4 linked regions of the Stegostoma tigrinum genome follow. The protein of the gene in region 2 interacts with the protein of the main gene of each other region in a pairwise test. Links are inferred from orthologs where the notes say so. Each region holds a gene or a part of one and is shown on either strand. Other genes may lie near its edges.

Region 1 (7,906 bases), on a different chromosome or scaffold from region 2:
CACAGATCCCTGAACACAACAGGATAGTTAATAAGATAGTTAAAGAGGGCACACAGGATGCTTGCTCTGGCATACATTATAAGAGCAGAGAAATTACTTCGGGGCTGTACAAAACTTTGGCCAGGCCACAGCTGGAGTCTGGTCCGTGAATGCACTGGAATAGATGCAGAGGTGACTCATCAGGATGTTGCCCATGATGGATCATTTTAGCTATGAAGAGAGACTGGATAGGCTCAGGTTGCTGTCTTTAGAGCAGAAAAGACTGAGGTGCACAAAATAATGAGGGGCATGGGTAGGGTGGATAGGAAACAGTTATTCATCTTAGTTACATGGTCAATAACAAGGGGCATTACTTTAAGGCAAATAGCAGCAGGAGGATTAGAGGGCACTTGAGGCATCCAGAGGGTGGCAGGATTCTGTAATACACTGCCTGGAGTGGGGATTGTAAATTGGAAACCTAACAACCATTATAAAGTACACAGACACATAACAGTAAAGGCAATGGGCCAAGTGCTGGAAGTAGGGTAGCTAAGTTGGCATAAACTCAAAGGGTTGAAGGGCCACTTCTGCGCTGTATGGCTCTAAGTTTTACTTTCTATCAAGAATGACTGATGTGTGATGCAGAATATCAGAAGAGATCATGGACATAATTTCTTTCCAATATGTTACAAATGCAGGTCAGCCATAGATACCACTTTAAGTTGATTGACATGAAACTCGGCTTCTAAGTGCTTTACTTTCATAGGAGTTACCAAAAACAATGAATGGCTTGAAATGTTCAACAACTTTGAGCAATAATCATTTGTCTAACATTTTAACATTGTTATAATTGCGAAGTTCCATGAAAATTTCCTGACTTCTCTTACTAATTCTCAGCCCTACAAGATACAACAACCAGAAAATTTAGCAAGTGAAAAATGATGATAAACTATATATTACTCAAGGTCAATGCCTGAACTTGGCCTGACAATCTCGTGGCTGTATGTAACTTTAAACTTCACACAGCCTGGGTGATTTCATGTCACATTTTAAACTTAATTAATATCTGGCAAGTTAATCTCAAATGGGGCAAAAACTGGAAACTATAAGAGCCTTCAGCTACTCACAATCTGTCAAGACTGTTACTCTGGACTGCCAACGAATAATTCCTGGTGACATTTATTTGTGCATAAATACAGATGTACGGGCATCTAGTTTCTGGCCTTTGGCACTCACATAAATGTAGAAGATAAAATTAGAAAAAAGGAGCAAAACACTGAAAAACAGCTGTTTTAACCATTAAGCAGAAAGCAAAAGGAATTCCTTCAATCTACCATAAAATAAGGGTTGTTTCAGAGACAGTAGGAACTGCAGATGTTGGAGAATCTGAGATAACAAGGTGTAGAGCTGGATGAACACAGCAGGCCAGGCAGCGTCAGAGGAGCAGGAAGGCTGACGTTTCGGGACTAGACCCTTCTTCAGACAAGAAGGGTCAGTTCTGAAGAAGAGTCTAGGCCCGAAACGTTAGCCTTCTTGCTCCTCTGATGCTGCTTGACCTGCTGTGTTCATCTAGCTGTGCACCTTGTTATCTCATAAAATAAAGGTTTATGACCCTCTACTGTGAGTTTTCAAAATCCACACAGTTAGAGAAATGCAGCTGAAAGAAAATAAACCTTTAAGGACGGATGTGTGCAATTACCTCATTGTTAAAGCATTTGCTTTGCCCTCGAAAATAAACATTTCAAGCAACGGATATGAATGGCTTCCTTTGGGGCAAAACCTTGAATATAAACACACTAAACAGAGTATCATTCAAAAATAAATATATTTCCCAAAATAAGAAAGGAAACCAAATATGAAATCGTTTGCGTATTGTGATTGCGGTGCTGCTTAGTAAGCGACATTGACTGACAACGTTGAAATTAACGATTGCACTTTGTCGTTCACTATGAATCAAACCGCATTAGCAACTTAGTCTCAATGCCCAGAGTGTCCGATTGAAAAAAATATTCTAGTGAGCTGCATTAAAATTATTAATATCTACCCTTACACATCAGGATCTTGTTTGATGGCGTTATCATGTAGCAAGATATGGAGGGAAGCCGTGACTATATCAACACAATCACAGATCAATACGAAAAGTGAACGTTAAGAGTTGTACTCTTGTGGAGAAAATAACGAGGAATTTTGACCAGCTGTTACAGACTGAGATGTCCAATCTACTTCTCCGGTGTTGTGATAAATACAAGGCCTGATCGGGCCTTCTTTCTCTTAAAAAAAAGTCTTGTTAAAGTTAATAGACCCTTTTAAAACAAACCTAGTGCAACTGGTCCAGCATTTCAGATAAAGCCCGACTTCTGCCTGCACAGTAGCCCCTCAGTTTGACCGTTGACAGGTGTGAGCGCCGCCGCCGCCCTTCGCGGGGCAGCGTTTCCAGGGAAACGGGCAAAGCCTGACCAACCGTTCCCAGGGCCAACGATTACTGACACTGTTAATATTCAACACCCCCACCCTCATGCCCGTCATTCTCCGACTGTATTATTTACTCAACCGGCCACGAATATTTCGCATCGAATTCCAGGTGTTTGTTGCAGAACGAACTTTTTGAAATGTCAACATACCCGGCCGGCGCCCGAGCAATTGTCGCCATCGTCGCCGTCTCCCTGGTTCCAATCTCGTACTGCTTTTTTTATTATTATGTCGTCCACAACCAACCTCGCTCCGGGTTACCACCAAGCTCCTTTCACTAAAGTGCGATGGAACCAATTAATCAGAAATCACCTTTCTTTTCCGCCCACTCCCAAACTTTATCGGAGTCTCTACGCGCGGAAAATGCACTTGGTCGTGTGCTCGCAACCAACGGTTCCAAAAGTCTGGGTCACAAATATGATCGGCTCTTCTTTCTAATTCACGTACATACACGCACGACAACTGTCTGCAAAATTAGACCAGTGAATAAGCAGTAAACTATGTGCAATCACCGCACATCAGTCACTGCCCAGATACTACTCCAAATAGAGGCACTTACACTGGCAACAATTTCACACAGCAGCTCTTGTCGCGTTCTCTCTCCTTTCATTCGCTCCCTCGACGCCTTTCTTGATTAATTAATGAAAATAAAGCAACCTTATTTTTGAATGCGCCCTTCTCTCTCTGCTACTGTCTCCAAACTCCTGCATGAAATTAACCACCTTCCTCGGGATCTCCTGTCAATCACCGCTTTGTCCAACCCAGACTGAGGTACAAAAGTACTTTGCAGTTATATTCAGATTGTTTTCTTTTGATCATGGTTTGATTGGACTACATTGACTGCATAGTTTTGGAATGCACGTTTTAAAAGGCACTTTTGTCTGATGTCGTGCAAAGTATATCTCCGATCAAATAAACCTATGATGTCTTCAATTACACCATAAACGTGCTGCTTAATTCTTTTTAATGTATTTTCAAAACTTCAGGATTGCCTATATTCATATGTGGATATCGCTGAGACAACGTTATTAACAAATTAACACATACATGAAGCACAAGTTACAGTAGCCACGGTTGAGAGCTACACGAGACTTCAACGCAGCTGAGACACCAGGAAACTCATAAATTCAAAATCTATTCTCTACGAACTCTTGTAGCTACACCACCCCGGATATCTACGTTCCTCTGATTCAGATCATAGAAGCAACATAAGTTTCGAACACACAACTTCTCATAGCGAGTTGTCTTCAGTTGCTTCCACCCGAAACTCTGGGATAACTCCCTGCTCTCCTCAACTTTGCTTTCCGTTTTGACTCATTAAAACCTTTATGCCTTTTTGACGAGTTGGGAAGTAATTATGTGGATGTACATCAAATGCTGTTTCAATGTGACAAACACAAAGATTCAAGTCTGTCAGTATCTGAGGAGAGAAAAATACTCAACGTTTGGACTTGTGACTTCTGAGAACTGATTGAAGTTTGTGTATGTACTTTTGAAAGAGGCAAAGGAGGAACAAGAGGGCAGATAGTGTACAAAACCATGATTTTGGAGCAGAATTAGGCCATTTGGGCCATCAAGTCCACTCCATCACTGATCTGTTTCATAACTGCACCCTCCTGCCCTCTCCTCTTAAACCTTGATCCCCTGTCCAATCAAAATCTATCTGCCTCCATCTTAAATATACTCAATGACTGGCCCTCCACACCCACACTGGCAACGAGTTCCACATGTTCACCAGCCTCTGCCTGAAGAAATTTTCCTCATCTCTATTCTAAAAAGTCACTGCTTTGCTTTGAGACTGTGCCCTGGGATCCTGGTCCCTCCTCCTTGTGGAAACATTTTTCCATGCCCACACTATCCAAATCTCTCAGTAGTCTGTAAATTTCAATCAAATCCACCTTCAGCTTTCAAAACTCCATTGAATACAGACCCAGTGTCCTCAAATGCTCCTTATGACAAATTCTTCATCCCTCGGATCATTTTTGTAACCTTCTCTGGACCCCTCCAAGGCCAGCCCATCTTTCCTTAAGTACATGTCCCAAAACTGCTCACAATATTTCAAATGCTTCTCACCACAGACTTATACAACCTCAGCAGTGCATCTGTATTCGTGCATTCCAGTCATCTTGAAATGACTGTTAACATTGCATTTGCCTTCCTGACTGCCAACTGAAACTGCAAGTTAACCCGAACAGAATCCTGAATTAGGGCTCCCAAATCCCTTTGTGCTTCAGGTTTCCAAAATCTTTCTCCATTTAAAAAGTAGTCAATGCCTCTATTCTTGCCATCAAATTGCAGAACCTTACATTTTCCCACATTGTATTCCTTCTGCTAGTTTTTTACCCATTTCCCTAGCCTGTCCAAATCCTTCTCCAGCCTCCCCACTTCCTCAACACGACCTGGCCCTCCACCTATCTTTGTATCATCTGCATATGTAGCAATAACGTCCTTAGTTCCTTTGACCAGATGGTTAATGTACAACATGAGTAGTTGTGGTCCCAATGCTGATCCCATGAACTCCACTCATCACCAGCTGCCATCCTGAAAAAGACCCCTTTATCCATACTCTCTGTTTCTGCCGGTCAGCTAATCCTCTATCTGTGCCTTGCTTCTAACATAATGAGCTCTTATCTTACTTAGCAGCCTCCTGTGCGGCACTTTGTCAAAGGCCTTCTGAAAATCCAAATGGATCATGTCCTCTCATTCTACTTTGTCTAACTTGCTGTTACTTCCTCAAAGAATTCAAACTGATTTGTCAGGCATGATTTCCTCTTGACGAAGCCGTGTTGACTCAGCCCTACCTTATCATGCACTTCCAAGAACTCTGCAATCTCATCCTTAATAATGTAAAATCTAATCTCTTAAATCTTACCAATGACTGAGGCCAGGCTAAACAGTCTATAGTTTCCTGTATCAGAGATAATAGGAACTGCAGATACTGGAGAATCCGAGATAACATGGTGTGGAGCTGGATGAACACAGCAGGCCAAGCAGCATCTTAGGAGCAGGAAAGCCGACGTTTTGGCCTAGACCCCTCCTGAAACGTCAGCTTTCCTGCTCCTAAGATGCTGCTTGGCCCGCTGTGTTCATCCAGCTCCACATCTTGTTATATATAGTTTCCAGTCTTCTGCCTCCTTTCCTTCTTAAATAGGGGTGTGACATTCCTCATTTTCCAGTCCTCTGGCACTCTTCCTGATTCTGGTGATTCCTGAAAGATGACCGTCAATGCCTCCAAAATCTCCTCAGCTATTTCCTTCAGAACTCTGGGGTATAGTCCATCTGCTCCATATGATTTATCCACCTTTCGACCTTTCAGCTTCCCTAACACCTTCTCCTTAGTGATGGCCACTGCACTCACCTCTGCCCCTGACTGTTGAAGTTCTGGCTTGTTTTGTAGTGTTGTCTACTGTGAAAACTGATGCAAATTACCTATTCAGTTCAATGCTGTTTCTTTGTTCCCCACTACCCCTTCTCCAGCTTCATTTTCCAGCTGTCAAATGTCCACTCAATTCGCTTTCATCTTTTGGATATCTAAAAATAAACATTTGCAATCTTTTTCATATTACTAGATACCTTACTGTCATACTTAATCTTCTTCTCCCTTATTACTTGATTAGTTATCCTCTGCTGGCTTTTTAAGGCTTTCCAATTGTCTAATTTTCCCACTAATCTTTGCCACATTGTCTGCCTTTCCTTGTGCTTTTATGCTGCCCCTGATTTCCCTTGTCAACCATGGTTGCCTTGTCTTCCAATGAGTATGTTTCATCTTCCTTGGGGAAAATTTCTGCTATATCTCCTGAATTACTGCAGAAACTCCTGACATTGTTGATCCACCATCTACCCTCCTAGGCTGGCCTTCCAATCAATTCTGGCCAGCTCCTTCCCAATTTCATTTTAATTATCTGTATGCTAGTTAATTGTATTAATTCTAGCTGCTTCTTGTCAAATTGCAAGGTGAATTCTATCATATTATGTTCACAGTCCCTAAGGTTCCCTCACCTTCAGCTTCCTAATCAAGTCTGCTTCATTACACATCACCAAATCCAGAACTGCTTACCACCTATGGGGTCTACCACAAACTGTTCCAAAACAAAATCTCAGAGACATTCCACAAATTCTTTTTCTTTGTCCACCTGCATATTGAAGTCCTACATGATTATTGGAAAAGTGCTTTTCTGACATGGTTTTTCCTTCTCCTGATTCCCCACATCCTAGCTACTGCTGGCTGGCTTGTACACAACTCCAATCAGGGCCTTTTTCCCTAGGCCAGTCTACAACTCTACCCACACAGATTCCACGCCTTCTGACTCGATGTCACTTCTAGTGATTGATTGAATTTCATTTTTACCAGAAAGGTAATTCCACCCTGTCTGCCCATCTGCCTGTCTTTTTGATTGGATACAGATCCTTGAAAATTTAGTTTCCATCCCTGTTCTCCTTGCAGCCATGTCACTGCGATACCCACAACATTATCTGTGCCAATTTCAATCTGTGCTAAAACTCTTTTATCTTGCTTTGTATATTGCATGCACTTAAGCACAACACCCTCAAGCCAGCCCTGTGTTGACTGCCCCCTTTCTCATAGTTGAATCCACCCCCACTACTTAGTTTAAAGTCCTATCCACGGTGTTAATTATGTGATTCGCCAGGACTCTGGTCCCATATCGATTCTGGTGGAGCCCATCCAGCTCCCTCCTTCCCGAATACTAGTGCCAATGAACAATGAATTTGAACCTGTTAGTCCCACACCAGTTTGTGAGCCTTGCATCTACCTCTTTAATCATCTGCCCTGTGCCAATTTGCTTGTGACTCAGTTATAATCCAGAGAATAACACCTTTTTGACTCTTCTTTTTAATTTAGTGCTGGCTGCCCATACTCCTTTAGCAGAACCTCCATTCTCTTTCTAGCTATATTACTGGTACCTACATTTACTACAACAACTGTATCTTTCTCACGCCAGTTCCTCTGCAGCCCAAACAAGAGAAATTGAACCTAGGCACCAGGCAGGCAACACAGCCCTTGGGACTCTCGATCCTGGCCACAGGAAACAGTGCCTACTCCCCTGACTATACTGTCCCCTACATTTTCCTTTTTCACTCCTCTTGAATGGCTCCCTGTGCCATGGTGCTATCAGTTTGCTAATTCGCCCTCTAGCCCCTACTGTCATCCACACAGGGAGCAAGAATCTCAAACCTGTTAGACAAGCTCAAAGGCTGAGGCTTTTTCAGCACCATCTACTGGATCCCTCTACTTGCCTCACTCATAATCACACTCTCCCGTCTTTGACCACTGACCAAATTTGAGGTCGTTAATCTAAGGAGTTTGTCTGCCTCCTGAAACACAGCGTCGAGTCAACTCTCCCCCTCTCTGATGTGTCGCAGTGTTTGAAACTCAGGTTCAGGGTTGATGAGCTGGAGTTCCTCAAACAACAAACACTTGTGGTCACAATGAATCACA
Region 2 (7,778 bases):
TGGAGATCACATTGAACGGCAATTGCATTTATCAAGCTCCCATAACAAGTATCAATGTGCCACAAGGAAAAGCTGACATTTTCTCTCCAATAAACACCCTTGGTTATCAGGTCAGGGTGGGTAATGCTGGCATAATCACTGCACTATAAATAGAGCACTGCAAACCAATGAATTCTACAACTGATCACTACAAAGAATTTAAAACAATTTGTTCAGAAACATTAAATTAACATCTGTTGGTTTAAAATTTGCACCACCTTTCATAGCTATCAAAGCCTAATCATGCATGACTATAAATAGAAAGGCACTGTCACAGTCAATATGTGATATTTATTCAACTGCAAATGTTTTCACTGGTGACTTCTTTCATTCTGCTCTTCCTTCATACAAAAAGAAAGCTCTTGTCTTTGTTTGCAGGTGCTAATGATGTATGGCATTATCTGAGGAAGATTCCTGAAGATATGTGTTCAATCTCACCCTTGTCAGCACCTGCATGGATACTGGCATCCCATGTATGTTACATTCTCGACAAGGGGAAGGTCTTCACATATTAAAATCACTGGCCAAAGCGTGAAGGGTGCCATTGGTATAGTTCACCAGAAAGAGAGATTGTATTTTAGCCTAGCTACATCATGAACTCATTTGCCAATGAGATTATCACCAATCCAAAAATAAGTGCAGTTCCATCAACTCCCAGGAGATCCAGGTTGCTGTGTGCCTGCTGCTGCCTGGAGAGTGGGCCAAGCAGTTCAGGTCAGAGTGCTCAAAGATGGTGACCAAGTACACCAGCTCCAAGTGAAACACCTCATTGCACTGAAAAATAAAGGGCTCAAAATGAAGCAATCAGTGAATTCTGAGGAACTTAGTCCAGGAAATTCTAGTTGCACTATGCAGTCTGCCAGCAAACTGGTGCACAAGGTCACAGTATACCGAAAAGTCATGCTCCAATCCATGTTATGTCTTTGCACAGAATGGAGAGTATTCTATCCAATATGGACAAAGTGCAAAGTCCATCAACTAGACACTGCTGCCCACCATCAAGGAATCTCTCCTGACAGCTCACAGTTGCACTGAAAGCTCACTTCTTCCTATCCAAATGGTGGTAAAGACAGATTACGGCAAAGTTACGCAACACGCAGCAGATAACTCTAATCTGGATACCCACTCAGGGATAATGCACAGGTCCTTCTAAATCGTCTGTGAAAACATTGTTTGAGCAGGTTGACTGCTTGGTCGTTAACATATTAAAGGAGTAAAATCTCTTTCATATGATACAACTGCTGGACAGGTAATGGGGGGCTGTAATGCAGATGAAACCTAGCACTCCCTCATACTCATTTTTCTACTCCAGGAGAAGAAAATATAAGTGTTTTCCCTGGTCTAGTGACCTCAGTTACCTTCCTGAACAGCGGTGAATGGCAACTTTAGGATTTGTTGTTTATGTCGTCTACTGCAATTGGAAAGGAGTCAATGGCATAAAAAGGGTGATGATCACCTTGGCAGACATAGGCAATGCTGCTCATGTATAGCTGAAATTATGACTGCAGCAAATGTTGTAACACACTGATAGCCTCCTCTGTTAACCAACAGCATCCCGCACATTGGTCCTCAATCTACCCAAGACAGAAGCTCTCTGAATACTTAGATAATAAAGTGTGAAGCTGGATGAACACAGCAGGCCAAGCAGCATCTCAGGAGCACAAAAGCTGACGTTTCAGGCCTAGACCCTTCATCAGAGAGGGGGATGGGGTGAGGGTTCTGGAATAAATAGGGAGAGAGGAGGAGGTGGACCGAAGATGGAGAGAAAAGTGTAGATGGGGAGGTTGGGAGGGGATAGATCAAGGAGGTGGGATGAGGTTAGTAGGTAGGGGTGGGGTGGGAGGAAGGGATGGGTGAGAGGAAGAACAGGTTAGGGAGGCAGAGACAGGATGTGCTGGTTTTGGGATGCAGTGGGGGGAGGGGAAGAGCTAGGCTGGTTGTGTGGTGCAGTGGGGGGAGGGGGCGAACTGGGCTTGTTTTGGGATGCAGTGGGGGAAGGGGAGATTTTGAAGCTGGTGAAGTCCACATTGATACCATTGGGCTGCAGGGTGCCCAAGTGGAATATGAGTTGCTGTTCCTGCAACCTTTGCATGGCATCATTGTGGCACTGCAGGAGGCCCATGATGGACATGTCATCTAAAGAACAGGAGGGCAGTGACAAGTGCCTCACTCTTCCTCCTCATGGCCTACAGCATCAAAAGGTGGAGGAAGAATCCAACTGAATAAATCAATAGCTACAGACACCAAAAAGGTAGACAGTTGGGATTCTGGGCAGGTGCAAGTGCAACAAGGGATAGATTTTTCCTCAGCATCTATAGAAGGTAGGATTGGGATGTGAAAGGGGTTGAGGTTAGCAAGTGACACAATGAAATAAATCAGAAATGGCTGAAACTGTTAGTGAAAATAAGCCAATTAGGTAACGTGAACAAATTATGTTAAATATCAGCATCAGCCACATGAATCAGACTTTCAAGTTTCTTCATGTGAATTATTCATTGGATTGGGAGGGGGAAAGCAGGGTTGCAGCTCTATATAATTAGATTGCAGTTCTGAAAGCAAGCAACATGAAAGATTAGTCTTCTTGCTGTATTTTCAACATTTCAGTTAGATTCCCATTTGAGCCTATATTTGTGCAGAAATATTCCCAGCATCCTACTATTTTGCAGAAATTTTCCCACTATATTTCCATTTGAGCTTATATTTGTGCATAAATATTCCCAGCATTTTCTAAGCGCCACTCACTGTCCTGGTGCTGCTCCAACAACATCCACCGAGAACTACAATTCCCAGGAGGCACGACTGCCCGAAACACCATCACTGCGCCCAAATGAAGTACTGTAATCGGGGATAAAAGTCTCCATGTTGGCCACAACACTGCAGCTCAGTAGTACCCCTGTGCAGAAGCACACACCAATCGTTCCCTTACCGCCACAACCACAACCGTTCCTTTAAATCAACGGTACTAACGGCTGACCCTCGAGACCCAGTTGGCCAACGCGCCCAATCTTTTATACCGATCGGGACAAAATACAATTTGCATTTATTAAGTATAATTTTTTTTAAAAATATCAAACTCGGCTATTCCTTCTAATTATTCGAGGATTTATTTAAGTCAGGGCAGCTAGCGCAGATTGCAATATTAAGGACCCTCGCCGAAGGAGGAAGAGGCTCCGAGTGCGCATGCTCGGTCTTTTCCGGCTTCAGCCCCATTATTAGAGTTCAAGGTATGTGAAGAAAGGCTGTCCAAAATCCTTAAATATCTCTAACATCCCGCTGGGGTGAACTTTCAAGACCTCAATGGTGGTTGACACGCGTCATCTGTATTTATTCACTCACTCATTTCTATAATTTCATAAGTATTTATTGAATAGTTTATAAAATACCTCCCAGTTGCTGCTGCAGTCTTGGTGATATAGAGAGGGTAGGCCTCAGGCTCTGTTAATTGACTGAATAAAAGTTACAGGAAGTTGTTTCTCTAGGATGTTGTGTAGTTTTAAAGGTGTCTGTTTTGTGCCGTTATAGTTAGTATTAAGTTAATATTTTATGCAAGCTTTCTGGTTTCCCCGAGGTGAAAGTGTTCCTCTTATACCGCTGTTTCAAAGATGAGTTCCTGTAATAGATGTTTGAGCGTAATATCGACGATACACATGGTGGAAAGGCACTGATGTTAAGAAGAAAACGCGATTAAGAGGAAGTTTACTGATTTCAGACCTGGAATTAGCAGTTTGTCTACTGAGGAACTTTGGACACGCTGAAATTATATCAACTAGAATTCAAGAGAGCAGAGGGTGATTTGATTCAAGCCTGTAGATCCTCAAGGGTCTTGACAAGGTGGAAAGAGAAAGGGTGGGTGATTCGGGAATGAGGGGACACTTTTAAAGTTAGGGTCATGTTCTTTACAGCAAGTAAGGGGAATTTTTTTACAGTGGATCTGTGATGGAATATTCTGCCTCAGGAAGTTGGAATTGTTGAAAATAATGATCAATCCACTGTCACTCTTATTAAGGAATAATAAAAGATAGAATTGTGGAATTTGGAATGCAGATCAGCTGTGAGCTTATTAATTGGCAATGCAGATTTGAAGGGCTGGCTGACCTACTTCTAAATTGTATGCTTGGAGTCGCTTTCTGAAGCTGCCTCTTGAGTAGCTTAAGTGTGATATTTCAAAAATGATTGTATTTTATCTTCAGATGTAACTAACAGAAATACATCTAAAGATAAGAACAATCTTTTGATTAATTTACTTTGTTTCAGCTTCATTATGAAACTGTTGGTTTGAAAGCTGTTTTCATCAGCAGTTTAGGTTGTGCCTCAACACTGGGCCTTTGGGCAGAGAGACTACCAAATTGTGGGAGGTCACATGTTCAATACAGAACCCAGGCTCCTGATCTGGGCTGGCCCCTTAAGAAGCCAAGCATATGCCCTACGCTGTCTCTAGCTGCCTTTACTGTTGACGTTCCTACAGAGATTGACATGTAGGTGTTGAAGAAAGACAACTTTGAAGAGGCATTTCACAATACGGACACCTTATGGTGGAATTTTGAAAGGGACAGGGAGGAGGGAGTCTAACTAGGACACTGAATTTTGTAAATCTTGTCTCTAATCAGTAATGACTAAATTTATAATTAGTAATAAGCCCCTTGTTGCTATTTCATTTTCTTAAAACAAACTTCAGAATTGTTCTATAGGCTGTCAGATGGAGGTTGTTATAAACAGGAGGGACTGAGTGTTCCAGGCCACAGATACTGTCAGCGTACTTCTGGATTACTCTTAACCAAAAATATAAGATAAATGTTGTAGTGAACGTGTGCATATTGGAAGAGAATCACCTAATATTAGGTTATGACCAAACTAGATCTTGTGAAATTCCAATGTTGAAGTCCCCTATTCTGTTTTATTTCAGATGCTGATGCCTAAGAAGAATCGTATTGCTATCTATGAGCTCCTCTTCAAGGAGGGGGTAATGGTAGCCAAGAAGGATGTGCATATGCCAAAACATCCAGAACTGGCAGACAAAAATGTCCCAAACCTGCACGTAATGAAAGCCATGCAGGTATCATATTTAAATAACTATGATTTATAAACAGTCTATAAATTTCGAAGAAACTTCATATCAACGTTATGAAACAAATTTGACACTGGCCTTTAGTTGATGAAATGGTAAGGCAGATGGCCAAAAACGTGTTTAGGGAGATAATGTTTAAAGGTGAATATTAAAAATGGAAAGTAAGCAGTATTGGGTGTGTGAAGGGTGTTTCAGAGTTTAGGATCTTGGCAGCTCAATACATGATCACTAATGGTGGAGAGACGGTAAGATTGGTCAGCATTCGAGAGTTGCAGTTGTCTCGCTGTTATAGATCTGGAGACCACAAAGATAGAGAGGGCTGCCGTCGATCAGAATGAAAGACAGGCCTCATTTTTACATACAGCTTCGGTCAGAAGTGCTGTGGGGTGATCCAACTTCCTGAAATCCCTGACATCACTGATGGGGGTCTTCAGCCAATTTGGTTCACTTCTTATGATATCAAGAAGGAGCTGAAAGCACTGCACGCCACTAAGGCTTTGGGCTCTGACAGCATTCTGGCAATAATACTGAGGATGTGCTCAAGCTAACTGCCTCAGCATGGCTGTTCCAGTAAAGGGACAGAGCTAGCAATTACCTAGTATGTGTAAACTTGCCTGGGTAGAGTCAGTTATTCTAGCCAATTATCACCTGTCAGGCTGCTCTCAAACTTCAGCAAAGGGTTAGACGGTATAGTCGACAAGCAGCAGTTACACAGCAGTGACCTACTTGCTGGTTCTCGGTTTTGGCTCCACCAAGGTCATACAGTTCCTGACCTCATTATAACTGTAATCCAAGCATTAACAAAAGAGCTGAATTTAAGAGGCGAGGTATGATTGACTGCCCTTGATATCAATGTAGTGTTTGACCAAGTGGCATTGAGGAGCCCTTGCTAAACAGGAATTTTGGGATGGTGGGGGTTTGGAGTCGGATACATAGATGATGATTGTGGTTATTGGAGGCTGTGTATCAAGTAACAAGGTGAGAAAATTCATAAAGCCAAAGTACAAAGGGATCTGGGGGTGCTAGTCCAGGATTCTCTAAAGGTTAACTAGCTGGTAAAGTCCATGATTAAGAAAGTGAATGTAATGTTGTCGTTTATCTCAAGAGGGTTGGAATATAAAAGCAGCGATGTACTTCTGAGACTTTATAAAGCTCTAGTTAGGCCCTATTTAGAATTCTGTGTCCAATTTTGGGCGCCACACCTCAGGAAGGACATACTGGCGCTGGAGCGTGTCCAGCAGAGATTCACATGGATGATCCCTGGAATGGTAGGCCTAACATAGAATGAACGGCTGAGGCTCCTGGGATTGTATTCATTAGAGTTTAGAAGGTTGAGGGGAGATCTAATATAAACGTACAAGATAATGCATGGCTTAGAAAGGGTGGACACTGGGAAGTTGTTTCCGTTAGGCGGGGAGACTAGCACCCGTGGGCACAGCCTTAGATTTAGAGGGGGTAAATTTAGAACGGAAATGAGGAGACATTTCTTCAGCCAGAGAGTGGTGGGCCTGTGGAATTCATTGCCTCGGAGCGCAGTGGAGGCCAGGATGTTAAATGTCTCCAAGGCAGAGATTGATGAATTCTTGATCTCGCACGGAATTAAGGGATGGCCGGGGTGAGTGCGGGTAAATGGAGTTGAAATGCCCATCAGCCATGATTAAAAGCGAAGTGGACTCAATGGGCCGAATGGCCTTACTTCGACTCCTATGTCTTATGGTCTTCCCTGGACGTAGTTGTAAGTGTTCTTCAAGGTATACTTTAAAGCCAATCATTTTTCAGCTGCCTCTGGTCAGAAGTGCGGATATTTGCTGATTGCACAGTATTCTATGCGACTGTTAAAATACTGAAGCAGTCTGTACCCATACATGCAGCAAGAGCTGGACTGTACTAGATTTTGAGTAATAAATGGCAAGTGATGTTTGTGCCACACAGCTGCCAGGTGATGACCATTTCCATCAAGACAGAATTCAAACATTTCCTGTTTTTCCAGTGGCATTACCATTGCTGAATCCTCCAGTGTAAGCATGTTGGAGGTTGCTGTTAAGCAGCAGCAGCTAGACCAGCCAGAACAAGTCAGGCTATTAATTCTGTCAGTGTAACACACCACCTGACTCCCAAAAGTCAGTGGATCATCTGCGAGGTAGAGGTACTTGTTGCAATACTGAAGAAGCTCAAGCCATCCAAGATAAGGGTCTGCAGGATTGGTATTTCACCTACTCACTTGAACCTTCTATTCCTCCACTAGTAATGCATAGAGACAGCAGTGTACTGTAGCAACTCATTTAAGCCTTTTTTGACCATATGTTCTAAACCCATGTTTGAAATCTAGAACTCCCTTTTAACAGAACTGTGGACTCACCCACACCAGACAGATGATAATGGCTCAAGGACACTTCAGGTTGGGCAACAAATTCTGGCATTGCCAGTGATGCCCCAGATCCTGTAAAAGAATGAAAAACCTTGTTAATCTGAAAAGCCTGTTTGCAAAGCAATTCACTGCAGTATATGGATCAGTAACTTGAGGGCTATAGTGATGACAAAGGAAGACATATATGTTTTGGATATTCGAACAAATAGATAGATACCCACTGTACCCTGAAAGCTACATATTTGTCCCTTAAATTTGCTTTACTCCAGTTAGTAGTTCAGAATCTCAGATATTGTATTTTAAGCA
Region 3 (7,629 bases), on a different chromosome or scaffold from region 2:
AACCTCCGGATACAACAAATCATCGTCCGACACTTCCGCCATATATTTGCCCCCATACCTCCTCCCTCACCCACATCCCAGGCCCCAAGATGACTTTCCACATCAAACAGATGTTCACCTGCACATCCGCCAATGTGGTATACTGCATCCGCTGTTCACGATGTGGCTTCCTCTACATTGGGGAAACCAAGCGGAGGCTTGAGGACCGCTTTACAGAACACCTACGCTCGGTTCACAATAAACAGCTGCACCTCCCAGTCATGAACCATTTTAACTCCCCCTCCCATTCCTTAGATGACATGTTCATCCTGGGCCTCCTGCAGTGCCACAATGACGCCACCCGAAGGTTGCAGGAACAGCAACTCATATTCCGCTTGGGAACCCTGCAGCCCAATGGTATCAATGTGGATTTCACAAGCTTCAAAACCTCCCCTCTCCCACTGCATCCCAAAACCAACCCAGCTTGTCCTCGCCTCCCTAACCTGTTCTTTCTCTCATCTATCCCCTCCTCCCACCTCAAGCTACACCTCCATTTCCTACCTACTAACCTCATCCCACCTCCTTGACCTGTCCTTCCTCCCTGGACTGCCCTATCCCCTCTCTACCTCCCCACTTATACTCTCCTCTCCTCCTATTTTCTCCTTTATCCATCTTCAGTCCGCCTCCCGCTCTCTCCCTATTTATTTCAGAATCCTCTCCCCATCCACCTTTTCTGATGAAGGGTCTCGGCCCGAAACATCAGCTTTTGTGCTCCTGAGATGCTGCTTGGCCTGCTGTGTTCATCCAGCCCCACACTTGTGTTACCTCAGATTCTCCAGCATCTGCAGTTCCTATTATCTCTGATCACACCGAGTGGAGAGTTTGGTTGGTGCAAGTAGCAGCTGAGTGCAAGCTAAGAGTGCAAGATCAGAGGATTAGATAGAGTGGACAGTGAGAGTCTTTTTCCTAGGATGATGACATCAGCTTGCACGAGGGGGCATAGCTGCGAATTGAGGGGTGATAGATTTCAGACAGATGTCAGAGGCAGGTTCTTTACTCAGAGAGTGGTAAGGGCATGGAATGCCCTGCCTGCCAATGTAGTTAACTCAGCCACATTAGGGGCATTTAAACAGTCCTTGGATAAGCAAATGGATGATGATGGGATAGTGTCGGGGGATGGGCTTAGATTAGTTCACAGGTCGGCACAACATCATGGGCCGAACGGCCTGTTCTGCGCTGTGTTGTTCTATGTTCTATGTTCTAAGAGGAATCAACCGAACAAGTCCCTGTTGGTGGTAACAGGCACCTAAGATTGTGAAGGTGACACCAGAGAGTGAAAGGACAGGAGCAGCACTGACAACAGGGGCAGAGGGAAGAGGTGTACTGACACCCATAGTACTGGGAAGCACATCATGTTCAGAGTGAGATGTACAGGCCATAGAACAAGAAATCTGCAGAAAGCAACATTATGGTCAATGTGGCAACACAGCACAGATATATAACCCAAATTATTTGAACAACATTAAAGTGAAATAACACTGACTGGGGCAAAGTTTAGCAGTAACTTATTGCATGTGGGTGTAGTTTATTTACATGGTGTCCTCACTAATTCTGGTCTCTAAATCAACATCACTAAAAGGACAGACTACCCAGTCATAATCACTGTGTCGTCTATCAGAGTTTCTCCTGTGGAAACTGAAGCTACATTATAATAGCTAATCCATTTCAAAGATGGGATATCCTGGAAACGGACCTAAAGGATATGTAACCATAATCTTACCAGACCACGGGATTACAATCTCATCAAAGGTTCTTTAACCTAAGGGTCCTCATATCCCCAGGCAAGGGGAAAGGTAACCTCAGACAGGACAGGGATTGAACACACACTAGTAGTATCACTCTATTTCACAAACCAGCCATCCAGACAACTGAGCTAAACCATCTCACAGAGTGGTACAGAAATGAAAATTTTTAATTTATTCGTCTCAGGAGAGATTCGATCCGTGTAGTTAGGGGTTTTGAGTCTTAATGTCATGCCTAATGAAAGAGCCCTGTAACATCACAAAGTACCGTGGGCAGAAACGGCAATTCCAACAGAATCTGTCCGGTCAGATCTAGCAATCAATAGACAGCTACCATCTATTGTGTGGTTAAAGCAAAGTATAACAAAAAGCATTTTTCATACATTTTTCATAATTCACTTTTACGTTTTCTTTTACATGGAAGCATGTAAAACCATAGAGGGCTGCAGTTAGCTCAGTTGTTTAGATGATTAGTGTATCGATCTGATGGATACCAGCAGCCCCATTCAATGCCCAAATGCCTGAGGTATCCTTGGGCCCCTTCCTCTCACGCTGTCCTCTATAGTACAGTGACAGCACTTTGCTCCTGGCTCGCAAATAAACATAGCCCAAGACCCTCCTGCAGGCTCAAGGAGATGTAAAATCAAACTCATACAAAGCTGATTGTTATAAAAAAGTACTGACTGATTTGCTGTAACAATACATTAAATGCTGAATGTTCCCCAGTTGCGACCCGACAACACCTACAGTTCGTGAATGAGTGGGTTTTTAAAACGTGCTCATTCGAACGAATGCAATGCAGCATCAATGCTATTTAACCATAGCACACAGTGAGCAGGATGAAAATATAAGGGAGAAAGAGAAAGCAAACATACTGACAGAGAGGCAGCACAGAGACAGATCCGTTTCATAACCGATCGCAAATGTCTGATGGCCATGCAGCTCCTGATAAATACTGTTCCCTTCCTCAGAGAACGTCCTCCTGCTGCTGCTACCCCTCTCTGCCCAGCCAGGATCACAGAGTCCAGCTTCTGCTTCAGGAATACTGGCGGTCCCGTCTCCCTGGCACACTGCAGTCTGCTGCAGCATCAGACCCCATCCCCCAACAATCTAGCCCCTCTTCAAAACTGGGAGGACACCGTTTGCTGAATATCACCAACAGCTCAGCAACCAGGGAGCCTTTGCTTTACTCCAAGTGACTGCATTCAATGCTTCAAGATGTCAATCAACTCTATACATTAATAAAACAGCAGGGAGCTGTGCAGGTTACAGTCAGATTCAAGCAAGTTGCTGTTAGCATGCTGGTAGCATGTGCAATACCTCTCTCTGAGTTAGTACCCTTTGCACATTAGCCACTCCAGGTTAGTCAATTATTTCTTTATCTAATCTTCAGTTTGATCACACCTGAATTCTTCTCACTGGGGGATATGTGGCGCTCTCCACCTGTCTCAAGTTCTGAATGTTTCAGGTGTATGTCGACTGGCCTCCCCCTGTCACAGGTTTGCTTTTCTCTCCCCCAGGGGAGATGATGAAGCCAGCGGTCTCCGTGTGATTTCTCCTGACCGATCCACATCTGTCTTTGTGAAGAGTGCAGTCCAGCAGCAAAGTCAAAGCTCAGCAACGAGCAGCATCCCGGTGACACCGGCGCTGAGATTAACCAAGCTCTGTCACGGCATTTGATGAGAACATAACTGCTTTGGCATCAAAGATAATGGGAACTGCAGATGCTGGAGAATCCAAGATAATAAAATGTGAGGCTGGATGAACACAGCAGGCCAAGCAGCATCTCAGGAGCACAAAAGCCGATGTTTCGGGCCTAGATCCTTCATCAGAGAGGGGGATGGGGTGAGGGCTCTGGAATAAATAGGGAGAGAGGGGGAGGCGGACCGAAGATGGAGAGAAAAGAAGATAGGTGGAGAGAGTATAGGTGGGGAGGTAGGGAGGGGATAGGTCAGTCCAGGGAAGACGGACAGGTCAAGGAGGTGGGATGAGGTTAGTAGGTAGATGGGGGTGCGGCTTGGGATGGGAGGAAGGGATGGGTGAGAGGAAGAACCGGTTAGGGAGGCAGAGACAGGTTGGACTGGTTTTGGGATGCAGTGGGTGGGGGGGGGAAGAGCTGGGCTGGTTGTGTGGTGCAGTGGGGGGAGGGGACGAACTGGGCTGGTTTAGGGATGCAGTAGGGGAAGGGGAGATTTTGAAACTGGTGAAGTCCACATTGATACCATATGGCTGCAGGGTTCCCAGGCGGAATATGAGTTATTGTTCCTGCAACCTTCGGGTGGCATCATTGTGGCAGTGCAGGAGGCCCATGATGCTTTGGCATCAAATTCTTTTGTCTGTTCATCTAACAAAGACTGGAGGCCGAGTTTTCTCATAATCCTGCCTGGAGGTAGCGGCACCAGCAATGTAAGCAGCATGCACGCTCCTGGCTCCATTCACTCCAGACCTGCCACTTCCTCCCTTCGTTCCAGACCCTTTTCATCTTCTTTCTGTAAGGGTGGCAGACAAAATGACATTGTGGAGGAGGGCAGCCAGAGTGGGGCTCGTCACAAGGCAGTTACTGACCAGCCTGGCAGCAGAGCCAGGGGCTCCTGATGGTGCTCGGCCCAGAGCCCGGGGGCTCCTGCCGGTGCTCGGCCTAGAGCCCAGGAGCTCCTGGCGGTGCCCATCCCAGAGCCCAGGTGCTCCTGGCGGTGCCCGGCCCAGAGCCCGGGGGGTCCTGGTGGTGCCCGGCCCAGAGCCTGGGGGCTCCTGGTGGTGCTTGGCCCAGAGCCAGGGGCTCCTGGTGGTGGTCAGGCCCAGATCCTGGGGCTCCTGGTTGCAGGATGTGTGAGGGTGTGGTATGGCTCCTGGTGGTGGCGGTAGCGAGGTGAGCCCAGTGGCACCTGAAGAGTGATGACACCAACATTGGTGGGCCCAGCACAGGCTGCAGTGAGGAAATGGAAGTGGGTTGATGGTACAAGACTCATGGTGCAGGCAGTGTAACGAGGAGGGGCTTTCTTTCAGTTCTCTCATTTTATTCATAAGATATTCAAATTGGCACTGGATTTTGGTGGCAGTTGAAACTTTTCACTGTAAAATACAAGCAACAATAAATCAATCATAAAAAAGTTAGAGGAAGTGGGAAAATGAGGGAGGGAAATGCTCAAAGGCAATCACCAGCTTGAAGAACTGCACAACATTTGCCTAACTGTTTCAGTCTACAAGCCTTACCAAGGACCCCATCATTGTAGGAGCAATAATCAGTTTGTAGCCCAAGAAAAGTTTTCTAAGGTTTGCATCATAGAATTATTTAGGATAGACGAAAGGTCTTGCGACTCAGTAGCAGTAGCCCTGCCTTTAGGTCGGGATCTCTGGATTCACATCTCACGCCATAACATGTTGGCCATGGAAAGTCTGTCTTTGCAAAAACATTCATTAAGGAATCTCTACAGCACAGATAGAGGCCATTCAGCCCATCACATCTGCACCAACCTTTTCAAGAACATCCCATCCTGCTCCTGTAACCCTGCATTTTCCATGACTCATCCACATTGCTGAACACTATGGGCAATTTAGCATGGCCAATTCACCTAACCTGCACGTCTCTGGACCGTGGGAGGAAACCAGAGCACCCTGAGGAAACTTCACGCAGACATAGGGAGAACGCACAAACTCCAGTCACCCGAGGCTAGAATCAAACCTATATCACTGACACTAACCGCACAGCCACCATGGCGCCCATTAGCCTTACTCACCTTTATGTACTCCCTTCAAACATGGAGCCAGATTCCCCTTTACAAAGTTTATTGTCACGTGTATCTTGTTACAAAATGTAGTGAAAAGTGTTGTATAGTGTCACTCTTTTGCGCCATCATAAAACACAAAGTACACCAAAACTTCAAACTTGTTAAGTACTCTGTCATGAGCCACGGACCTGGTGGTCAGGCACAAGTCCCATTTGCCATCGCTGCTGGAGTGAAAGTCACTACTTGTCAGCACCATCTCACCTCCATCAACACCATTGCCAGTCTTCACTGGGCCTCACCGATGCAGACACCACTGATGTCACCAGGTACCGCACCAGCCCAAACTCACCGCCACCTCTGTGCCAAAACGCTGCCAGGAACTCAAACTCGCTGTGCTGTTGGGCCCAGTCTCTGCCATCAATGCCATCGCCGCAACTGAGCTTTTCACCAAGAGGTAAGAGTAAAAGAAGAAAGGACAGGAAAACAGAAACGAAAAGCAAACAGAGTTGTCAAGCCCTGGGCTCAGGATCCCACTGGATCAACCAATCAGCAAGACCCTGGAGTATAAGTTTTTCTGATGGTTTGAAATTTGGCATTCTTGCATTTGTCCTGAAGACTAAAAGATGAAAAGCTCCAGCAAGATGTCTCACTTTTCAAGAATATTCAAATTCTTTATGATGAGGTGACTGATAGTATTGAGTTTGCAGTCGCAGAGATAAGAGAATGTGATGGGCTTGGTACTGACCAGGTAAGAGCATTAACTTTCAAATCAATGTGTGGGTATCAAGACACATTCAACACCCAAAAAACATAGTGCTGGGTTTAGCCAAATTTGTGAACATTTGTACAATTCAGGAGTGAAGTTGCTGTTGGCTGTAACATAAAAATAGGCACTAGGCATTGCTGAATGCAGATGGTTCATAGCAGGAGTGTCAGCCTTCACTATCACACATTTGCTATTCTGAATGCTTGGCAGCTATTGTTAGACACAAAATGGTCTTGATCCTTTTTATTTTAATTTTGTTTAATAGCTCCAGAATGACAAAATAATAGCTTCCTCTGCTCAGTTTGTTTTCATCATTGATCATCATAACACTGATTATTTTTCTTTACTCCTTAATGCAATGTGGATGCTACGGCCAGACTGGCATTTGTTGTCCAACCCTAATTACCCTTTAACTGTGCAAGGGTCACCTCAGAGGGTATTTAATAGACACACACATTGCTGTGGAGCTGGGAGCGACATGCAGAACAGGCAAGTTAGGCTGGCAGATTTCCTTCCCTGAAGGGAATCAGTGAACCCAGTGGGATTAGTCAGTGTTACTGGGATTGGGTTCTGATTCCAGAATTATCAGTTGAATTTAGAATCCACCGGCTGCGTTGCTGGGATTTAAATCTATGTCCACACAGTATTAGTTCGGATGCCTGGATGGCTAGCCCAGCAATCTGATCAGATTGCAATTCAAGCACATTCAATTTTCACAACAAAGTTTCATATCAAAAGTTTGGATGTTGTTTGACAAGGGAAGAACCAAGTGTCACCTGTTTCATGACTGCACATGGGAACAGCAGAAGGCTATCCAGCCCTTCAATCCTATTCCACATCATTAACTAAGTCAAGGCTGGCTTGTGTCTCAATTCCCTTTACTCAACCCTGAAAAAAAACACCAACTTTCCCCTGAATCACCTACTTCCAGAGTCACTAAATGTTTTAGGTTTTAGATCTTTCAGAGGAACCTTTGATAGTGGCTTTGTTGCCTGAACAATGCAAAAACAAATTCTGAGAACAACACCAAGAATGCTCTTTTGTATTATTCAAGCTGGTCAAAGAATTTGACTGTAAATCATGAGGCTTTGTGGATTGTGTTCCAGAGATTTGGATTTCCAAGAAGCCATTTTGTCTAGTCCCCAACACAAACTCCACTCCCCAGTATTTTTTTGTTGTCTTTTTATTCATTCATGGGATGAAGTTGTCACTGTCTGGGCCTGCATTTTTTGCCCATCCCTAGTTAAGAGTCAACCAAATTGCTGTGGATCTGGATTCACATGTAGGCTAGACCAGGTAACAACGGCAGTTTCCTTCCCTAAAGGACGTTAATGAACCAGATGGGTTTGTCCAA
Region 4 (7,506 bases), on a different chromosome or scaffold from region 2:
CAGTTCTGGTCACCCTGCTGTAGGAAGAATATTATTAAATTGGAGAGGTTTCAGAAAAGATTTACCAGGATGTTGCCAGGAACAGAGGGTTTGAGTTATAAAAATAGGCTGGGACTTTTTCCACTGAAATGTAGGAAGTTGAGGGGTGACATTACAGAGGTTTATAAATCGTGAGGGGCATAGATAAAAGGTGAATAGCAAGGGTCTTTTCTCTAGGGCAGGGGGAGTTCAAAACTAGGGAGCATATTTAAGGTAAGAGGTGAGAGTTTCAAAAAAAGACACGAGGCAAATTTCTGTTTACAGAGAGTGGTTCATGTGTGGAATGAACTACTAGAGAAAGTGATGGATGCAGGTACAGTTACAACATTTAAAAGGCATTTGGATAAGCTCACAATTAGGTACAATTTGGAGAGATATGGGCCAAGTGCAGGCTAATGGGACTAGTTTAATTCGGGAACATGGCCGGCATGGACTAATTGGACAGAAGAATCTGTTTCCATGTTGTATGAATCTGTGATTCAATATCTTTTTGTACCAAGATAATGGCACAAGTACCACGGTGCAAAATATATCAGTTGCAAGTGATATTGGTGTTGCTAATATTGTATTATAAATAAATATGAGAACTTGTCAGCTGGAAAGTCCTGGTTTTTTTTCATGTACTAGACCCTTGACCATGCCGAAAAAAGGTTTATCTAACAATCTCAGATGCAAGTGAAAATTAATCCCAGAGCATTCCCAAACCTGGAAGATGATCATTACCAATCTATTAATGACATGAACTCATGCACAATTTTAATAACCACAAGAGTGTCCTCCAGTTCTCTCCAAACATCAGAGGTTTCTCAACCCTGCCTAATTCACCATAATCTGAGTTGGTCTTTGCAAAGAATAAATTACATCATTAGTTGCAGGAAGACAATGGCTGCAGGCCAATAGTACAACACTTACAATCTGATACAACAATAAATTTATTATACTCACCATTTTTTTGTGCACTCTACCATTAATTCTTGGTATGAAGCCACAAATTGGAACTTGGATGCATGCTTTCCCACACGTTGCAGCCGTTTCCAAACTGAAGCCATGATTATTATAACTTGGTTTTGGACAGATGAGTTCAGGTATAAAACACAGCTTCAATTTTCCAAGTTTATAATTTAGACATACAAGTGTAGATCCTTTAAGAGCGATAACATTTCTTCTACACGTTCATTGAAAAAAAATCACAAACAGGATGACAGATTCCAATGTGGATTGCCAAGTACTCCAGTAACCTGCATGGCTGTGGCAGGAAGTTGCTGTCAATTCAACCAGTCATTCCTCTATGGGTTCAAATGACGTTGAATCATCAGGCCTGGAAACTGAGACACAGATACCAGTTTAAAATAAATGCAAACAGAACAACTAGCACACAACTACAAGTAACAAAAAAAAACTGGTAGCCAACAACTGAAGCACTTTACCAAAATGTTTTAAATGACCACAAAAAACAATCACAAAAATGTATTTTAAGATTTCAATGACTTGTAAAAGTTGTCGCAGGAGCTAGTGACGTATTATTTAAATTCACCCTCAAACATTGACATTTATCTGCTCAATTGAAACATCAGTGCAGAACATTTAAAATCGAAAAACGTCTAGATTTCACCACCTCAAAAATGCTGATGCTCTTGCCTCTGAAAACAAAGTGCATTATTCATCATTGAAAAAAAACTCACCATCTGTCTTTTTAAAGATATCAGTTTGTCTATTACAGACATTTACACAACAAAAGATTACAATTAACACAAAGCTGACAATCGAAAAAAATAAGTAAGGCATGATCAACACAACACAAGCAAATCAACCCTTCTGAACATTTATCACTGCACAAAACTTGCAGACATTTAGGCCACAAAGACGGGACAGCTAAAGTATGATACCAGAAATATCAGATGGGGCTTTCACTTCCAAGTGAATGCACTCAGACTCAAAGACTACAGACAGTCCACCATATTAAACAGTGACATCCCAACCAATCTAGACCCCCACACCCCCAACCCCAGGGAAATCTTCCTGCTCCAGCGCATACCATCTCAACAACATTCCCACCTCTGTCAACTACATTCTCCCGGAAGAAAATATCAACCCCGACTCCTTTCAGAATAGCATGACCGTCTTGACAGATGCACCCCCTCCACTTCCACCGGCATTGCTCTCCATACACACACACACACACACACACACACACACACACACACAACCCAGATCCTCCCAAGCCAGCGCAGATCTCCCCCTCAGGACACACTCCCCCACATCCCACTCTCATGGTCTACCCTCAGAGCCAACCCCTCAGTGCATGCAGACACACACACACACCACACACCCAGAGTCTACCCCTCAGGGCACACACCCCACCCAAAGCCTACCCCCAACAGAGAACACCACCCCCAACCCCCGCCCAAGAGATTCCTCTTCAGGACGCACAACCCTCACCCCACCCCAGGGTCACCCTCACTAACCTGGCCTTCCTCCTCCCTCACCACCGCCCCCCCGCCGTTTCTTGGGGTTCCCCTCACTGACCAGTCCTGCACCCCCAGACTCACCCTGGCTGATCCCCCCGGCTCCACCTCACTAACCTACCCTAACCCCTCCCCTCCCCCACGTCCCCCCTCACTGCCTCCTTCAACCCCTTTCACCCCTCACTGTCGCCCGCCCGAGTCCCCACTATCAACGTCCCCCCTCCCCGCCACCCCCGGGGGGCGGGGTAATTGTCTGGCAGTTCTCCCCCTATTCCGAGTCCCCAGGTCATAAACCCACCGATTGCGACTTTGTGAAACTCGCTCTCCTTGGCCGGTTACTCGGAGAATGAGAACACGGCCTCAAACCCCGGGGACGGCTGTCGGCGCCGTCTCCATCCTGAGAGGACCGGAGACCGAGGGCTGGAGGCCGGGGACGGGGCAGTTCTCTCAGCCGACCCTGCTGCGTCCGCCCTCTCGCACCAACCTGCCGCCGGTCGCGCGGCAACAAAACCCGCCCATTCCCGCAGCCCATTGGCTGGACTCCGGGCCTGGTGATGTCAATCGCCGGTGTGGGGGCCTACGTCAGTTCCGGCTGTCAGATCCCAGCTCGAGACAGAGAGAAAGACAAAGGAATAGTGGGAAGAAGGGATAGAGGGATGGGAAATAGAGGGAGGGATATACAGATGGGGAATAGAGGGATGGAGACAGGGAGGGATAGAGAGAGAGGAAAGAAGAGAGGGAGGGATAGAGTGAGGGGGGATAGAGAGATGGGGGACAGTGGGAGGGAGGAAAGGTGGGAGGGATACACAAGAGGGGAAGGTAGAGAGAGATCAGAAGGGATAGCGAGAGGGAGAGATGGAGAGATCGGAAGGGACAGAGAGAGGGAGGGATGGAGAAATGGGAGATGGGGGAGGAAGGCAGGAAAGGAAAGAGGGATGGGAGAGAGAGGGGATGGGATAGACAGATGGGGAATAGAAGGAGGGAAGGAGAGAGAGATGGCAGAGAGAGATGGAGTGAGAAAGAGGGAGGGAGACATGGGAGAGGGAGAGATGGGAAATGGAGGGAGAAACAGGGAGGGACGAAGAGGGAGAGATGGGAGATGGTAAGATGGAGAGAGAGAGTGATCAGAAATGGAGGGAAAGAGAGAGATCGGAGATGGATGAAGAAAGAGGGAGAGAGAGAGATCGGAGATGGAGGGAGGGAGAGATGGGAGAAGGAGGGAGGGAGACATGGGAGAGGGAGAGATGGGAGAGGGAGAGATGGGAAATGGAGGGAGAAACAGAGAGGGAGGAAGAGGGAGAAATGGGAGATGATAAGATGGAGAGAGAGAGGGATCAGAGATGGAGGGAGAGAGAGAGAGAGAGATCGGAGATGGAGGGAGAAAGAGGGAGGGGCAGAGAGATGGGAGAAAGAGGGATGGAGGGAGAGATGGGAGATGGAGGGAGAGATGGGAGAGGGAGAGAGAGATGGAAGAGGGAGAGAGAGATGGGAGATGGAGGAGAAAGAGGGAGGGAGAGATATGAGATGGAGGGAGAAAGAGTGAGGGAGATGGGAGATGGAGGGAGAAAGACCGGGGGAGGGAGAGATGGGACATAGAGGGAAAAAGAGGGAGGGAGAGATGGGAGATGGAGGGAGCGAGAGATGGGAGAGGGAGAGATGGGAGATGGATTGAGGGAGAGGGAGAAATGGGAGAAAGAGGGAGGGAGACATGGGAGATGGAGGGAGAAAGAGGGAAGGAGAGAGAGATGGGAGATAGAGGGAGAAAGAGGGAGGGAGAGATGGGAGATGGCGGGAGCGAAAGATGGGAGAGGGAGGGAGAGATGGGAGAAAGTGGGAGGGATAGATGGGAGATGTAGGGAGGGAGAGATGGGAGATGGAGGGAGAAAGAAGGAGGGATAGATGGGAGATGTAGGGAGCGAGAGATGGGAGAGGGAGAGAGATGGGAGATGGAGGAAGAAGGAGTGAGGGAGGGAGAGTTGGGAGATGGAGGGAGAGATGGGAGATGGAGAGAGAAATGGGAGATGGAGGGAGCAAGAGGGAGAGATGCGAAATGGAGGGAGAATGAGGGAAGTAGTGAGAGGGAGAGATAGGAGAAAGAGGGAGGGAGGGAGAAAGAGATGGGAGAAAGAGGGAGGGAGAGCGAGATGGAGGGAGAAAGATAGAGGGAGGCAGAGATGGGAGAAATGGAGGGAGAAAGTCGGAGGGAGGGAGAGATGGGAGATGGAAGGAGAAATAGGGAGGGAGAGATGGGAGATGGAAGGAGAAATAGGGAGGGAGGGAGAGATGGGAGATGGAGGGAGGGAGGGAGAGACGGGAGATGGAAGGAGAAAGATGGTGGGAGAGAGAAATGGGAGTTGGAGGGAGCAAGAGGGAGAGATGCGAAATGGAGGGAGGGAGAGATGGGAGATGGAGGGAGAATGAGGGAAGTAGTGAGAGGGAGAGATGGGAGAAAGAGGGAGGGAGAGAGAGATGGGAGAAAGAGATAGGGAGAGCGAGATGGGAGATGGAGGGAGAAAGAGCGAGTGAGGGAGAGATGGGAGATGGAGGGAGAATGAGGGAAGTTGTGAGAGGGAGAGATGGGAGAAAGAGGGAGGGAGGGAGGGAGCAAGTGATGGGAGAAAGAGGGAGGGAGAGAGAGATGGGAGATGGAGGGAGAAAGAGAGATGGAGGCAGTGATGGGAGGGGGTAGATGGGAGAAGGAGGGAGCGAGAGATGGGAGATGGAGGGAATGGGAGATGGAGGGAAATAGTGGGAGGGAGGGAAAGAGAGATTGGAGATGGAGTGAGAAAGAGGCAGGGAGGGAGAGACGGGATATGGAATGAGAAAGAGGGAGGGAGGGAGAGATGGGAGAGGGAGGGAGAGATGGGAGATGCAGGGAGAAAGAGGGAGGGAGAGATGGGAGATGTAGGGAGAAAGAGGGAGAGAGAGAGCTGGGAGATGGAGGGAGAAAGAGGGAGGGAGGGAGGGAGAGATGGGAGTTGAAGTGAGAAGGATGGTGGGAGAGAAAGGAGAGGGAGGGAGAGATGGGAGATGAAGGGAGAAAGAGGGAGTGAGGGAGATATGGGAGATGGAGCGAGAATGAGGGAGGGAGGCAGAGATAGATGGAGGGAGAAAGAGGGAGGGAGAGATGGGACATGGAGGGAGAAAGAGGAAGGGAGGGATAGAGAGATGGAAGATGGAGAGAGAAAGAGGGAGGGAGGCAGAGAAAGATGGAGGGAGAAAGAGGGAGGTAGTGAGAGATGGGGGAGTAAGCGGGAGGGAGAGGTGGGAGATGGAGTGAGAAAGAGGGAGGGAGACTTGTGAGAGGGAGAGATGGGAAATGGAGGGAGAAACAGGGAGGGAGGCAGAGATAGGAGCTGGAGGGAGTAAGAAGTAGGGAGAGGTGAGAGATGGAGGGAGAAAGAGGGAGGGATGGGAGATGGAGAGAGGGAGAGAGAGAGTGATTGGAGATGGAGGGAGAGAGAGAGATCAGAGATGGAGGGAGAAAGAGGGAGGGAGAGAGCGATGGGAGAAACAGGGAGGAAGGGAGAGATGGGAGTTGGAGGGTGAGATGGGACAGGAAGTGAGAGATGGGAGATGGAGGGAGAAAGAGGCAGAGATGCAAAATGGAGGGAGGGAGAGATGGGAGATGGAGGGAGGGAGTGAGAGAGAGATGGGAGAAAGAGGGAGGGAGAGAGAGATGGGAGATGGAGGGAGAGAGAGATGGGAGATGGAGGGAAGGAGAGATGGGAGATGGAGGGAGGGAGTGAGAGAGAGATGGGAGAAAGAGGGAGGGAGAGAGATGAGAGATGGAGGGAAGGAGAGATGGGAGATGGAGGGAGAAAGTGGGAGGGAGGGAGAGATGGGAGATAGATGGAGAAAGAAGTAGGGATTGAGAGATGGGAGATGGAGTGAGAAATCGGAGATGGGGTGAGAGATGGGAGATGGAGGGAGAACGAGGGAGGGAGGAAGAAGGAGAGATGGGAGATGGAGGAAGAAAAAGATGGGAGATGGAGGGAGAAAGAGGCAGGGAGGGAGAGATGGGAGTTGGAGGGAGGGAGATGGGAGGTGGAGGGAGGAAGAGGGTGGGAGTGATAGATGGGAGATGGAGGGAGAAAGAAGGAGGGAGAGAGAGATGGGAGATGGAGGGAGGAAGAGGTAGAGATGCAAAATGGAGGGAGGGAGAGATGGGAGATGGAGGGAGAATGAGGGAAGTAGTGAGAGGGAGAGATGGGAGAAAGTGGGAGGGAGAGAGATGGGAGATGGAGGGAGAAAGAGAGAGGGAGGCAGAGATGGGAGAGGGGGAGATGGGAGAAGGAGGGAGGAAGAAATGGGAGATGGAGCGAAGGGAGATGGGAGATGGAGGGCCAAAATGGGAGGGAGGGAGAGATGGGAGATAGAGGGAGAAAGAGGTAGGGAGCGAGAGATGGGAGATGGAGCGAGAAATGGGAGATGGGGTGAGCGATGGGAGATGGAGGGAGAAACAGGGAGGGATAGATGGGAGATGTAGGGAGCAAGAGATGGGAGAGAGAGAGTGATGGGAGATGGAGGAAAATAGAGGGAGGGAGGGAGAGAGAGATGGGAGATGGAGGGAGAGATGGGAGATGGAGGGAAAAAGATGGAGAGATGCGAAATGGAGGGAAGAAGAGATGGGAGATGGAGGGAGAATGAGGGAAGTAGTGAGAGGGAGAGATGGGAGAAAGAGGGAGGGACGGAGAGAGAGATGGGAGAAAGAGGGAGGGAGGGAGAGAGAGATGGGAGGGAGAGAGAGATGGGAGATGGAGAAAGAGAGAGGAGGCAGAGATGGGACGGGGGAGATTGGAGAAGGAGGGAGGGAGATTTGGGAGATGGAGGGAAGGGGAGATGGGAGAAGGAGGGAGAAAGTGGGAGGGAGGGAGAGATGGGAGACAGAGGGAGAAAGAGGTAGGGAGTGAGAGACGGGAGATGGAGGGAGAAATGGGAGATGGAGGGAGAAAGAGGGAGAGATGCGAAATGGAGGGAGGGAGAGATGGGAGATGGAGGG

The links.
Region 1: the proteins of pacsin1b (region 2) and cobl interact in binary tests that used the Homo sapiens proteins (3 or more experiments, as listed by UniProt). The link is inferred for Stegostoma tigrinum from reciprocal best matches to the Homo sapiens genes PACSIN1 and COBL.
Region 3: the proteins of pacsin1b (region 2) and ankycorbin-like interact in a two-hybrid assay, tested with the Homo sapiens proteins (2 studies listed by BioGRID and IntAct). The link is inferred for Stegostoma tigrinum from reciprocal best matches to the Homo sapiens genes PACSIN1 and ANKRD24.
Region 4: the proteins of pacsin1b (region 2) and ehbp1 interact in a two-hybrid assay, tested with the Homo sapiens proteins (2 studies listed by BioGRID and IntAct). The link is inferred for Stegostoma tigrinum from reciprocal best matches to the Homo sapiens genes PACSIN1 and EHBP1.

Annotation. Positions count from the first base shown.
Region 1 is NC_081355.1:94,435,243-94,443,148, forward strand, and holds the start of cobl (protein cordon-bleu), read right to left. Parts: upstream 3,002-7,906; 5' UTR 2,630-3,001; coding exon 2,601-2,629; intron 2,397-2,600; exon of another isoform or gene 2,297-2,396; intron 1-2,296.
Region 2 is NC_081374.1:38,805,512-38,813,289, forward strand, and holds the start of pacsin1b (protein kinase C and casein kinase substrate in neurons protein 1), read right to left. Parts: upstream 3,012-7,778; 5' UTR 2,782-3,011; intron 1-2,781. Other genes in the region: rps10 (40S ribosomal protein S10), read left to right, coding at 4,943-5,092. UniProt on the Homo sapiens protein: Plays a role in the reorganization of the microtubule cytoskeleton via its interaction with MAPT; this decreases microtubule stability and inhibits MAPT-induced microtubule polymerization.
Region 3 is NC_081383.1:37,879,078-37,886,706, reverse strand, and holds the start of ankycorbin-like, read right to left. Parts: upstream 3,002-7,629; 5' UTR 2,871-3,001; coding exon 2,661-2,870; intron 1-2,660. UniProt on the Homo sapiens protein: Component of the stereocilia rootlet in hair cells of inner ear.
Region 4 is NC_081362.1:1,092,243-1,099,748, reverse strand, and holds the start of ehbp1 (EH domain-binding protein 1), read right to left. Parts: upstream 3,002-7,506; 5' UTR 2,803-3,001; intron 1,365-2,802; 5' UTR 1,089-1,364; coding exon 985-1,088; intron 1-984. UniProt on the Homo sapiens protein: May play a role in actin reorganization. Links clathrin-mediated endocytosis to the actin cytoskeleton. May act as Rab effector protein and play a role in vesicle trafficking.